Linked DNA regions of Arabidopsis thaliana. The protein of the gene in region 1 interacts with the protein of each later gene in a pairwise test. Each region holds a gene or a part of one and is shown in the gene's direction. Other genes may lie near its edges. The genes, in order: STO, BBX29 and GATA7.

What was found.
Region 2: the proteins of STO (region 1) and BBX29 interact in a two-hybrid assay, tested with the Arabidopsis thaliana proteins (one large-scale study listed by BioGRID).
Region 3: the proteins of STO (region 1) and GATA7 interact in a two-hybrid assay, tested with the Arabidopsis thaliana proteins (one large-scale study listed by BioGRID).

Annotation. Positions count from the first base shown.
Region 1 is NC_003070.9:1,827,716-1,832,008, reverse strand, and holds STO (B-box zinc finger family protein), read left to right. Parts: upstream 1-2,025; 5' UTR 2,026-2,143; coding exon of another isoform or gene 2,144-2,243; 5' UTR 2,244-2,320; coding exon of another isoform or gene 2,321-2,349; coding exon 2,350-2,532; intron 2,533-2,701; coding exon 2,702-3,022; coding exon of another isoform or gene 3,023-3,052; exon of another isoform or gene 3,053-3,104; coding exon 3,105-3,347; 3' UTR 3,348-3,669; downstream 3,670-4,293. Other genes in the region: AT1G06050 (ENHANCED DISEASE RESISTANCE-like protein (DUF1336)), read left to right, coding at 342-1,283; AT1G06045 (uncharacterized protein), read right to left, coding at 2,144-2,243, 2,321-2,487; AT1G06030 (pfkB-like carbohydrate kinase family protein), read right to left, coding at 3,879-4,013, 4,095-4,211. UniProt on the Arabidopsis thaliana protein: Acts as a negative regulator of seedling photomorphogenesis and light-regulated inhibition of hypocotyl elongation. BBX24/STO and BBX25/STH function as transcriptional corepressors of HY5 activity, leading to the down-regulation of BBX22 expression.
Region 2 is NC_003076.8:22,113,779-22,117,276, reverse strand, and holds BBX29 (B-box type zinc finger family protein), read left to right. Parts: upstream 1-1,737; 5' UTR 1,738-1,961; coding exon 1,962-2,456; intron 2,457-2,540; coding exon 2,541-2,693; 3' UTR 2,694-2,973; downstream 2,974-3,498.
Region 3 is NC_003075.7:17,146,490-17,150,244, reverse strand, and holds GATA7 (GATA transcription factor 7), read left to right. Parts: upstream 1-1,748; 5' UTR 1,749-2,033; coding exon 2,034-2,234; intron 2,235-2,353; coding exon 2,354-2,869; 3' UTR 2,870-3,105; downstream 3,106-3,755. UniProt on the Arabidopsis thaliana protein: Transcriptional activator that specifically binds 5'-GATA-3' or 5'-GAT-3' motifs within gene promoters. May be involved in the regulation of some light-responsive genes.

The DNA of each region.
Region 1 (4,293 bases):
TACTCAGAATTTGAGTCAATTTACTAACTTTATTCTAGTTTCCGGTGTAGCTATGACTTGAACCGGAGTTACCAGCTCCTAGTTTTTGTTTCTTTGAGCAATTTTTGTTTCACTCTTTTCTTTTAAAAAGTTCTTGTGGCATAGTATGAATCCTATGGGAAATTAGATGAGGAATAGATAGAGCCTCAGACATACATGGTTCTGTTTTCTGATCACATGTTTTGGTCTTCTTGATGGCATATTCTTGTTTGCTATATTCACTAAGTAGAATCCATGAGATTGTTTTCCACACTCAGTTTTACTCAAGGATTTAAGCTCTGTGTTGCAGGTTTTCGCAAGATATGGCTGGCTCTGTTGGTGAGGAAACTGAGCCAGAATGGATTAAGAGAGTGAAATTAGAGGGAGCTGTTCCATGTCTTAAGCCAGACGACAACTGCAAAAATGGTTGGACGACGCCATCTCCTGACACATTTATGGTTAGAGGACCAAAGTATTTCTCTGACAAAGTTAAGATACCTGCTGGTGATTTCCTTCTAAAGCCTCTGGGTTTTGATTGGATTAAAGGTCCTAAAAAGCTTTCTGAGATCCTGAGTTATCCAAGCAGCCGAATCAGGAAAGTTATCGATGAGGAGTTTCAAAAAGATGGAACTAAGCCTTTTGTCTGGGCATTCAATCTCCAGCTTCCTCACAAAGACAATTACAGTGCTGTGGCTTACTTTGTTACCACAGAGCCTATCCTTGAAGGCTCCCTGATGGATCGGTTTTTGAAAGGAGATGATGGGTTCAAGAAATCGAGGCTTAAACTGATTGCAAACATTGTCAAAGGCCCTTGGATTGTTAGAAAAGCTGTTGGAGAGCAAGCGATCTGTGTGATTGGACGTGCACTCTCTTGCAAATATGTTTCAGGGGAAAACTTTGTGGAGATTGATGTCGATATTGGTTCTTCAATGGTCGCTAGTGCCATTGTTCATCTCGCATTTGGCTACGTTACTACATTGACAGTTGATCTTGCGTTCCTCATTGAGAGTCAGACCGAAGCAGAGCTTCCAGAAAAGCTACTAGGAGCTGTGAGATTCTCTGAGCTGCAGACCGAGTCAGCCACATCTATCGAACTGTCCTCAAGCACCAGTAATGACCAGTGGGATCAAACTACCTCAGAGCGGTCGAGCTGGTGGAAATCGATTGGAAATGGATTCTCTAATCTGCTTAATCAAGATACGGCCAACATGAACAATACTTCTCATGGGGACATCCAGAAGGATGAACATGTACAGAAGCAGTAAGTGTTTTGGGAGTTATTAACTTCACAATTCTTTGAATTTGTTCGATTTCATTACCAAAAAACAGAAACAAAAACTTGTCAATTCTTTAAAAAAACCACAGATGTATAGATTGGTTTTTACTAATATGGATGGATATGTGATATCCAACAACAATTCTTGTGACCAACCATGCCTAATTTTGTATTGGTGTCTTTTAGGATCATTCTTTTTCTCGAACGGGCTAAGCATTCATTTCTTTGTTAGTTAACATGCCAGTATATTTTTAATGATTGCATTAATCGTTTTTATGATTGAGAAAACGAAAAAGTGAAAGAAGAAGAAAAATCTGATCGAATGGTACATATTAACATAACATGTCGTCATTCCAAGGAATCAATTCACATGTCATTTTCAAGATTACGTGTAGTCGTGTAATATTCTCTGATTTGAGTAATACCATTACCCAACTCTTTCTTTCTAGATGAAGCCCATTTTTGTATACAAATCTTTCTTGAAATCGTAAAAGTTCACGAGACTTGAAATTCGAGCATATCATATAAAAGGAGCGTAAAAGTCTAGTGGTGGTGGAATTATTGAAGTTAGTTTATTAGTCAAAATTAATGTGTTTTGACTAGATTAGTAAACAAAACACAAATCTCTACTACGTGAGAAAATAACAAGAATATAAAATAGCAAAGTGTGAATATAATAAAAATATCTAAAGGTAGGAGAGATGACGAGAGGAAGAAGGAGAGCCACAGAAAAAGAGTGGGACCCGCAAGACCTTGCTGTAAGAAGCAGAGTGTTTCCTTTTGATACGCAGAATAATGAAAACAAAGCAACAAGCAAGATTCATCAAATCCTTATCTTCTCTCTTTCACTCACAACCAATTGCTCATCCCACCTACTTGTTCCCCACAAAACACTCTCTCCCTCTTTGTTCTTTCATCTTCTCTAAGCTCTTTCTCTGAACCTACGCTTCTGCTAAGCTATTCTAAGAGAAGCCAGACTAGCAATAAACCCTTCATTTTAAGCATTCTGTTTCCTTCTTGAGAAACCTAGATATTTTGGTTTCTTGTATCCGGTGATGAAGATACAGTGTGATGTGTGTGAGAAAGCTCCGGCGACGGTGATTTGTTGCGCCGACGAAGCTGCTCTCTGTCCTCAATGCGACATCGAGATTCACGCCGCTAACAAACTCGCTAGCAAGCACCAACGTCTTCATCTTAATTCCCTCTCCACCAAATTCCCTCGTTGCGATATCTGCCAAGTAAGTTTCTCTACAGATCTCATTAGATCTTGTCAAATATTTTATGGATTCGTTAGTTTGAATCTGCTCTGTTGCAAAGTTGTGATTTTATAGATCTTGTAGCAACTGTTGTATGTATGCCTTGTTGTTTAAGACTAGGGTTTGCTCATTATGTTCTTATGACTTGTAGGAGAAGGCAGCTTTCATTTTCTGTGTAGAGGATAGAGCTCTGCTTTGCAGGGACTGCGATGAATCCATCCACGTGGCTAATTCTCGATCTGCTAATCACCAGAGGTTCTTAGCCACTGGGATCAAAGTAGCTCTGACCTCAACTATATGTAGTAAAGAAATTGAGAAGAATCAACCTGAGCCTTCCAACAACCAACAGAAGGCTAATCAGATTCCTGCTAAATCCACAAGCCAGCAGCAACAACAACCTTCTTCTGCTACTCCACTTCCCTGGGCTGTTGACGATTTCTTTCACTTCTCTGATATTGAATCCACCGACAAGGTAGTGATGAGAATTGAGATTCAATGTTAGATCACTTTCTTTGCAAGAAGCTTTTATTGACTTCTTGGTTTAAATTGAGCAGAAAGGACAGCTTGATCTTGGGGCAGGGGAGTTGGATTGGTTTTCAGACATGGGATTCTTCGGTGATCAGATTAATGACAAGGCTCTTCCTGCAGCTGAAGTTCCTGAGCTTTCTGTTTCGCATTTAGGTCATGTTCATTCATACAAACCTATGAAGTCAAATGTTTCACACAAGAAGCCGAGGTTTGAGACCAGATATGATGATGATGATGAGGAACACTTCATTGTCCCTGATCTTGGCTAAAAAGCTATATGTAATCTATGTGTAGACATTCTTCAATGTAAAAGAACAAACAAGAAACCTATCTGCATGTGTGGAGTTAATGTCATATACATTTTAGTTTTGTCTTAAGTTGTGTAAGATATGTTGAGAGCTTATAACAAATGTCTGTGTTTGAGTTTTGTTCATACCTCTTGAACATGGTCTATGCTTAATGCTTTGATGCTACAAACTTGATACTAAATGTGTTCTCTCTGTTCTTTCTTGGTTTTTTTTTGTTTGTTCCTGATTATTACTCTGTTTTCAAAGCCTTGAGAAACAATCCTCAATGCAATTTACGGTTCCAAACAACTACGAAAAACTCTTTGTTTTCTATTAGCAAGAAAAGCTCAGAAGTCACAAGTCTGTTTTATTCAATACAATGAAGAAGAAAAAGAAAAGACAGAGAGAGAACCAAAAAAAAAAAACATTACAAATGATCAGAATCATCAGGAAGAATCCAGAACAGATTATTACAATAGACAAGGAGAATTCTGGACTCGAAGAGAAGTTTTACTATTCTACTTGTATCTTAAGAAAACTGAGAGCTTCACAATCTGTAGGAAGAGCTGGAATGGCTCCCTTTTTAGTCGTCGTGATTGCTCCACAAGCGTTTGCAAATCTCAGCACTTTTCTCAATCTCTCTTCCTCCTAAGAAACGAGAAAAATCAGTAAATATCATCAACAATATTCAGTTGATTGAATAGACACACAATATCAATGGGAGTTAACCTCGAGTACAGATTGATCATCAACAATCTGGTTTAGAAGCGCGCCAACAAAAGAATCACCAGCTCCAGTAGTATCCACAGCGTCAACATGGAAAGTTTCAACAGATCCATGGAAATCCTACACAAGAGTCAAGAGAACATCAATCAAAATCACACACCAAGATCATCATGATGATGATGAATCCACATGAATGTTTGTT
Region 2 (3,498 bases), on another chromosome or scaffold:
TTATCAACAAAAAAATTTAAAATTATTATAATTGGGTTGATCACCCATACTGAACAAATTTAACAATTTCTATTGTAAATTTGTAATCCACTTCTCTTTTTAATAAATCTTTAAAGAAACTTGCAAAAGAAAACATAAATGGAAAAGAACTAACAAAAAATAAGGAGTAATTCGTAAGATAGATGTGTATTGATTCGAGGCTTCTTCTAAGTTGTTCTAAAGTTGTCATCCACAAACATTTAAAAGTAAAAAAACAAAAAACCATAAAACTCAAAACACCTCCACTCATCAGCGCTTTTTTAATGCATGTGGCTCTCAAATGAAGACATCTCGTGTTCCTTTGATTCTTCACAATTCACACTTCACCCTTTACACCACTAATCTTCGCCACGTAAAAATTTCTCAAGCATGTTACGTAGGCCCAACTTTACCATTTTTTTTGTTCTTATATATATTTTACGTATTATTTGTTATCCTAAAATGACTTTCAATCCATCTTTGCTAGTCTTAATCTCGATTTCGTGATACAAATTAATTCCTTTGATCAAATGAATACAAATAATCAAATTAATTCATCTTTGATCATAGATGAATTAGTTTGTTCTATGGATCAAAACCACAGATCAAACTCTATCATACAAAAATCGTTGTGATTTTCTTTTAAAAACTCACAACTGTAAACATTTGAAATGACAAAAAATATTTGTCTAACTACAAGCTTCTTAGCTATCTATCTATCCTGTTTTTTAGATAAAAATTCGTAATACCTTTCATTTTTTTAATCCAGGTTTAATAATTTTTCAAATATATATTCTATATTCTTTTTAATTACCATTAGCAAATAACAAGTAATATATCGAATTGCCAATGATGTGAAGTAAAAATGTAAAATTAGTGGTTGGATTTATTTATTTATTTTTATTTAGAGAAAAAGACATTTAACTCGAATTATGTAAAATATGGAACGCTAAAAGTGGTTGATAAAATCATAAAATTAGGTTCTTCTCCTAGTAACCATGTTGATTCATGGACACCAAAATTTCCGAACCCAAAATGCGATATTAAAAATCCGATCATCATTATTATCCTACCGTAATACCAACGATATAAATGATATTTAATTCACTTTTCATTTTCGAAAACAAAACGCTTGGACCGGAACGAGAGAGGAATACTGAAAAAAGTAAAAAATGAAAGAAAAAAGAGTGGACCCATTAGACGTGTATTGAGGACCAGACAAATCCCAGGTGCGGATCACGTGGTTCTAAGTCTATTACAGAACCTGATTCGTCCACGTAGGATAACTCAGAATCTTCCCTCTCCTCTATACGAGGCTAATATCTCGCCACGTCATTAACTAAAAATCTAACCGCATAAAAATATCTGATGAAACATAAAACGAATAATATCTCGACACGTAAGACTTCGCCCATAGGAGAGCCTTGTCCCAGTACATGGTTTCAGGACCAAGTAAATAACAACATTTCCTTTAATTTTTATTATTATTATCATCTCTCCTAAATTTAAGAATTCGAGAATAATACTCAGCCGCGGAAACCTTAATCAATTTCAAACACAGATTTAGAACTACTAATACAAAATTATCCACAAATTATCCACCATAAAAATTAAAGTTTGAACGAATCCTTTAATCTTATTCTAATTTAAAATTAGGAAGCTTCTTTGCATTTCATTAAAAAATTACGTGAAAAATCGTTTCGTTAATATCAAAAAGACGACAATATCCTCGAAAAGAATTAAATCACATAAAAGTCGCCACGAAATTCTCATTTTACAATTCTCTATTACGCTGTCTCTTATTCGTGTCCGCAGAAGAAACGAGAGAAGAGAGAGAAGCAAAAGACCTTACCAAGAATATTTATAACACACAAACATCTAGAGACAGAGATAGACATAGAGAGAGAGCTTGTGGTTGTGGTTGTGCGAGATAATATCTAGAGATGGGGAAGAAGAAGTGCGAGTTATGTTGTGGTGTAGCGAGAATGTATTGTGAGTCAGATCAAGCGAGTTTATGTTGGGATTGTGACGGTAAAGTTCACGGAGCTAATTTTCTGGTGGCGAAACACATGCGTTGTCTTCTATGTAGCGCGTGTCAGTCACACACGCCTTGGAAAGCTTCTGGGCTGAATCTTGGCCCAACTGTTTCTATCTGTGAGTCTTGTTTAGCTCGTAAGAAGAATAACAACAGCTCCCTCGCCGGGAGGGATCAGAATCTTAACCAAGAAGAAGAGATCATTGGTTGTAACGACGGAGCTGAGTCTTATGATGAGGAAAGCGATGAGGATGAAGAAGAAGAAGAAGTGGAGAATCAGGTTGTTCCGGCTGCGGTGGAGCAAGAACTTCCGGTGGTGAGTTCGTCGTCTTCGGTTAGTAGTGGTGAAGGAGATCAGGTGGTGAAAAGGACGAGACTTGATTTGGATCTTAACCTCTCCGATGTATGAATATGAATCTTTTTCTTTATCTTCTTTTATTATTAGGAAATGATTAAGAAATCTGAAACAATTCTTTTTGAAATGCAGGAGGAGAACCAATCTAGACCATTGAAAAGATTATCGAGAGACGAAGGTTTGTCAAGATCAACTGTTGTGATGAATAGCTCAATCGTGAAATTACACGGAGGGAGGAGAAAAGCAGAGGGATGTGATACATCATCGTCGTCTTCGTTTTATTGAAATCGCCAAGGAAAGTAGAGATTGTAGCCGTTGATGATTCTTTTGTTTGGTTGATTAGATTAATCCTCATCGTTCATTTACTAACAACAATACTTTTAGTGAGTTGAGTTAGTTTAAAAACATTTCAATATAATGATTTTTTTTTGTGTTTTTTTTTCTGTGTTACCTAGAATATATATGTTCATATGTCTAGTATAAAATCATATAACATAAAAAATAAAATGAAGCAAAGTTGTTCAGAAAATGATTAAGAAAATGAAGCTGTTTTCTATTTATTTATTTTTTAACGAAAATGATTAAGAAAATTAATTAGTGAAACAAGAGATATTATTATAAATTTATAACGTGAGAAGGATTACCAGCCAAAACCAAAATTTATTATGATGTCAATTTTATTTGCCTTCCCAGAACTAGAAGTGTCTGTGTCATTGTGATGTTACAACTGAAGAGTACATAACGTATGAATGTCCGTTAGCTTTGTAAATTGTAACTACGACCACTAAAAAGAATCAAACAAAAAAGTTGTCAAGACTTAGAAAAAAGAAGATATTTAGTACCATGGGGTCCTCCTTTAAAGTTTTTTTAAAAAAAATTTATTTGTCAAACGCTTTGAACCCATCGTGTCTTTTGTATCTAAACCGTGTTCGAAGCTCCAAAAAAATAAAAAATGATGCTCTCATGATTTATATGTAACTAAATAAATTGGTTTTATTTCTAATTTTGAATCTATTTGTTTTGTGAGAAATGAGAAGATCCAAGTTTTTGGTTTCTTGATCGTATATGATAAATACAGTATACAGTAATT
Region 3 (3,755 bases), on another chromosome or scaffold:
ATATTGATATTTATGGAGCAATGCTATATTGGTTTCAAGTGTACATTTTTTTTTATCCGAGGGTTCAAGACTTAAAAGCTCAACCAAATTTCCGATATACAAAGAATGTGATATTTTTATGGCTATCACTTACATCGTTGCTACATTTAATTAATTTCTATTTTCTCTGAATGCAAATAACTTAAATCGAAGTTCATTTTAAATTATAAACGTAAATTTCATGAAGTAATTTTGTATTTACGCTTTTAAAAAAACTTGAATGGTTTTCATGTAAACTTAATCATCATATAAGTTACGTACAGTGTCAATGTTCATATCACATATATGACTATATGAAAGTATAGTTTACGAGATAAATACTGTGGGGAAAAAAGAAAAAAAAAGCTACACTACACAGATGAGAGATGGATGCATAGAGAACGAGATCATGAAAGTTTACTATCTTATGTTATCGAACGATAATGATTTCATGGGTATAAAATAGTCTAATTTGTACGGTTACTCCTCTGCCAACATACATCGCATTCAATAACATTCCACCTTTTACCGACTTGCATTGAGCCCATGTGGCCCATCGGGCTAATTAGGCATATAGTCAGTTTAGTGAGCCACCACCATATTGTATGTCATCAGTCTACGACTTTCTTGCGTTAATTTAATCCGAGGGGAAAAAAATTGATGTAGCAGTAGAGAATTTAAAGAGGGGTGTTCCGAGAATCGAACTCGGGACCTCTCGCACCCGAAGCGAGAATCATACCACTAGACCAAACACCCAATTGTTTGGAATGTAGTTCATTATATTTATAATAAAAATACAAGTCTATGTATTTTATTATTATTTACTATTTAGGTATGTGTGTAATTTGAATATGTTTATGCTCCATTGCTCCTGGTAAACTTTACGTGAATGTTTAGATGTTTTTTTTCTAACTTTGAAACCGACTTTTTCTAATGGAAATTATTATCTCAAAGAAAAAACAAATATATAACCATGAGCGATATTTTCACGCGCTCAACATATGATGGTCACTCTTTCCTTGAAATTAAAGAAGAAATAAATAATAGGCCCTTACTAATAACGTTTTTGTTTGTTTTGGTAAAATTGGGCCTTCCACCGACGGTCGAGTGGGCCCGAGAAGCCTGATAGTCCAATCATTACTCTCGACGTATGAATTATTGTTAATTTTTTTCTTCTTTTCTGTAAAACCTTCGAAATACTGATACAACAAAAAAAAAAAAAAATATATATATATATATATATATATATATGTGCTACTAGTTTCTTTTTTATGTTAACAAAAAAAAACCATATTTTGCAAGAAACTAGCTTTATATAGAGGGAAAGTTGTATTAACCGACGATATTTTTGGCCCAACAACACTTTCAACGGTCATGATTAATTAGGTTGAGCCATTAGATCGTTAGAATACCACTAGTTCTGAATGACTTTATTCAGTTATTTTGATAGTAAAAGAACTTAAAAAGACTTGCAAACTCTGCGCCGATGGTTAAGTCAAAAATGATAGTTCTAAATTATGAAGAAATCTTTGCTGTCTTTTAATATTATGAACTTAAAATTTGGCATTAAGAACTCTAATAAATTGAATTGACTACAAAGAGCGGTTATCTTTAAATAAAATTCTACGGATAAGTTCAGATAACATTTAAAAAAAAAAAAAAAAAACATTTTACTTACGAAGGAAACGTATTTTTGGTTTCCTTTTCAATGTGAAATGCTGACATGGCAATGCATGATTTGTTACGAGATTTGTAACGAGACAAATACCAAACAAGTCTTCCAAAATCACAAAAACCTAAAACCCACTCTTGCTTACAAACCCCAATCAGTGCTGTCCACTCTCCACTGTCTCTCTCACTCGATAGACACGTAAAGAATTTAAAATTTTGAAAAAGAAAGAATGAAATTTGTGTAAAATATATTGGAACACGAACAAACTTTTTCAAATATGGATTCGCTTCGCTCCTCCTTTATTTAAAATACTTGTAGTGCTTTCATACGGCTAGAGACAAAAATGGAGTGTGTAGAAGCATTTCTCGGTGATTTTTCCGTCGACGATCTTCTCGACCTCTCTAACGCCGACACTTCTTTAGAGTCGTCTTCGTCACAAAGAAAAGAAGACGAACAAGAACGTGAGAAATTTAAGAGCTTTTCTGACCAAAGTACCCGTCTTTCACCGCCAGAGGATCTCTTATCTTTTCCCGGCGACGCTCCGGTGAGCCCACTTACACACTCTGTTTCTATCTCCCCTGTTTTGTACACTCTGTTTCTCTCTACCCTGTTTTTGCTCTGTTTTGCTCTGTTTTTAATCTCATTTTTGTTTTGTTTGTGAAGGTTGGTGATTTGGAGGACTTAGAGTGGTTATCCAACTTCGTGGAGGATTCTTTCTCAGAATCGTATATTTCGAGTGATTTCCCGGTGAATCCAGTCGCGTCGGTGGAGGTTCGGAGACAGTGCGTTCCTGTTAAACCTAGAAGCAAACGCCGCCGCACCAACGGCCGTATCTGGTCTATGGAGTCTCCATCTCCTCTGCTATCCACCGCTGTTGCCAGAAGGAAGAAGAGAGGGAGACAGAAGGTGGATGCATCGTACGGTGGCGTAGTCCAGCAGCAGCAGCTGAGGCGGTGCTGCAGCCATTGTGGAGTCCAGAAGACGCCTCAATGGAGAATGGGTCCATTAGGTGCGAAGACACTGTGTAATGCTTGTGGGGTCCGGTTTAAGTCGGGTCGACTTTTACCCGAATATAGACCCGCTTGTAGCCCAACATTCACCAACGAGATTCACTCTAACTCTCACCGGAAAGTGTTGGAGCTACGGCTCATGAAAGTGGCGGATCCGGCTCGGGTTTAAGCCATTTTTTTCTATCTTGAAATTTTATCAATGCCATGTGCATTGTGTAATCTTGTAAACAGAGAATCAGAGAGAGATCCGTAGACTGTTTTCACATTCATGAAGTTAAGCTATAATTAGAGACAATTTTATTTGATAGAGTATGCATGATTAGAAATCATGATCATTAAAAGTTTTGTTAAATACAGTCCAACCGTTACCCAAATTTTTGTGACCACAACCATAATTAACTACTGTTACTTCCTCTTAGCTCACACTCTTTTCATTTAGAGTTTTTTTAAAAAACTGCTAATGCAAAAAAAAAAAAAGTTGTTAAAACGTTATTTTGAAATTTTGCCTTTATAACTGTTTTTTCAAAATATCGTCGTTGCCCCTTAAAGTTAAAGTAGAATTTTGTATATTTTTATTAAACCAGTATAGAAGTTGTTAACATTGAGACAAGATAAAAGATAAAATTTGACCAAAAATCAATTTAATTTTTCAATTACACAACCCTAAAAATTTACGACGTACGAGCCCCTCATTCACACTCTTATGTTAAAAAAACTGAAAATCAATCCATATCGATCTAATACTTGTGCGGCTACAAATACCAATGCATTGGTTATTTTCTAAATTATGTTATTGTATCATTGATAGTTGACACAGTGTTTATATATTTAAGAATACAAACTGGTATACTTTCTGTTTGCATACACAAATATTGGTGACTCCATTTTTTTTATTTTTTTTGTACATGTAAAATACTAAAGCAAACCCTCACATAAAGATTAGTAGTAACAATTTGGTTAAAATTATGATATCAGGTTGGTTAAAATTTGATTAAAACACAACTTTTGGATCCTTATCAAAAATTTTGGTCCGGAAGTGAAACTGTGAAAGAATT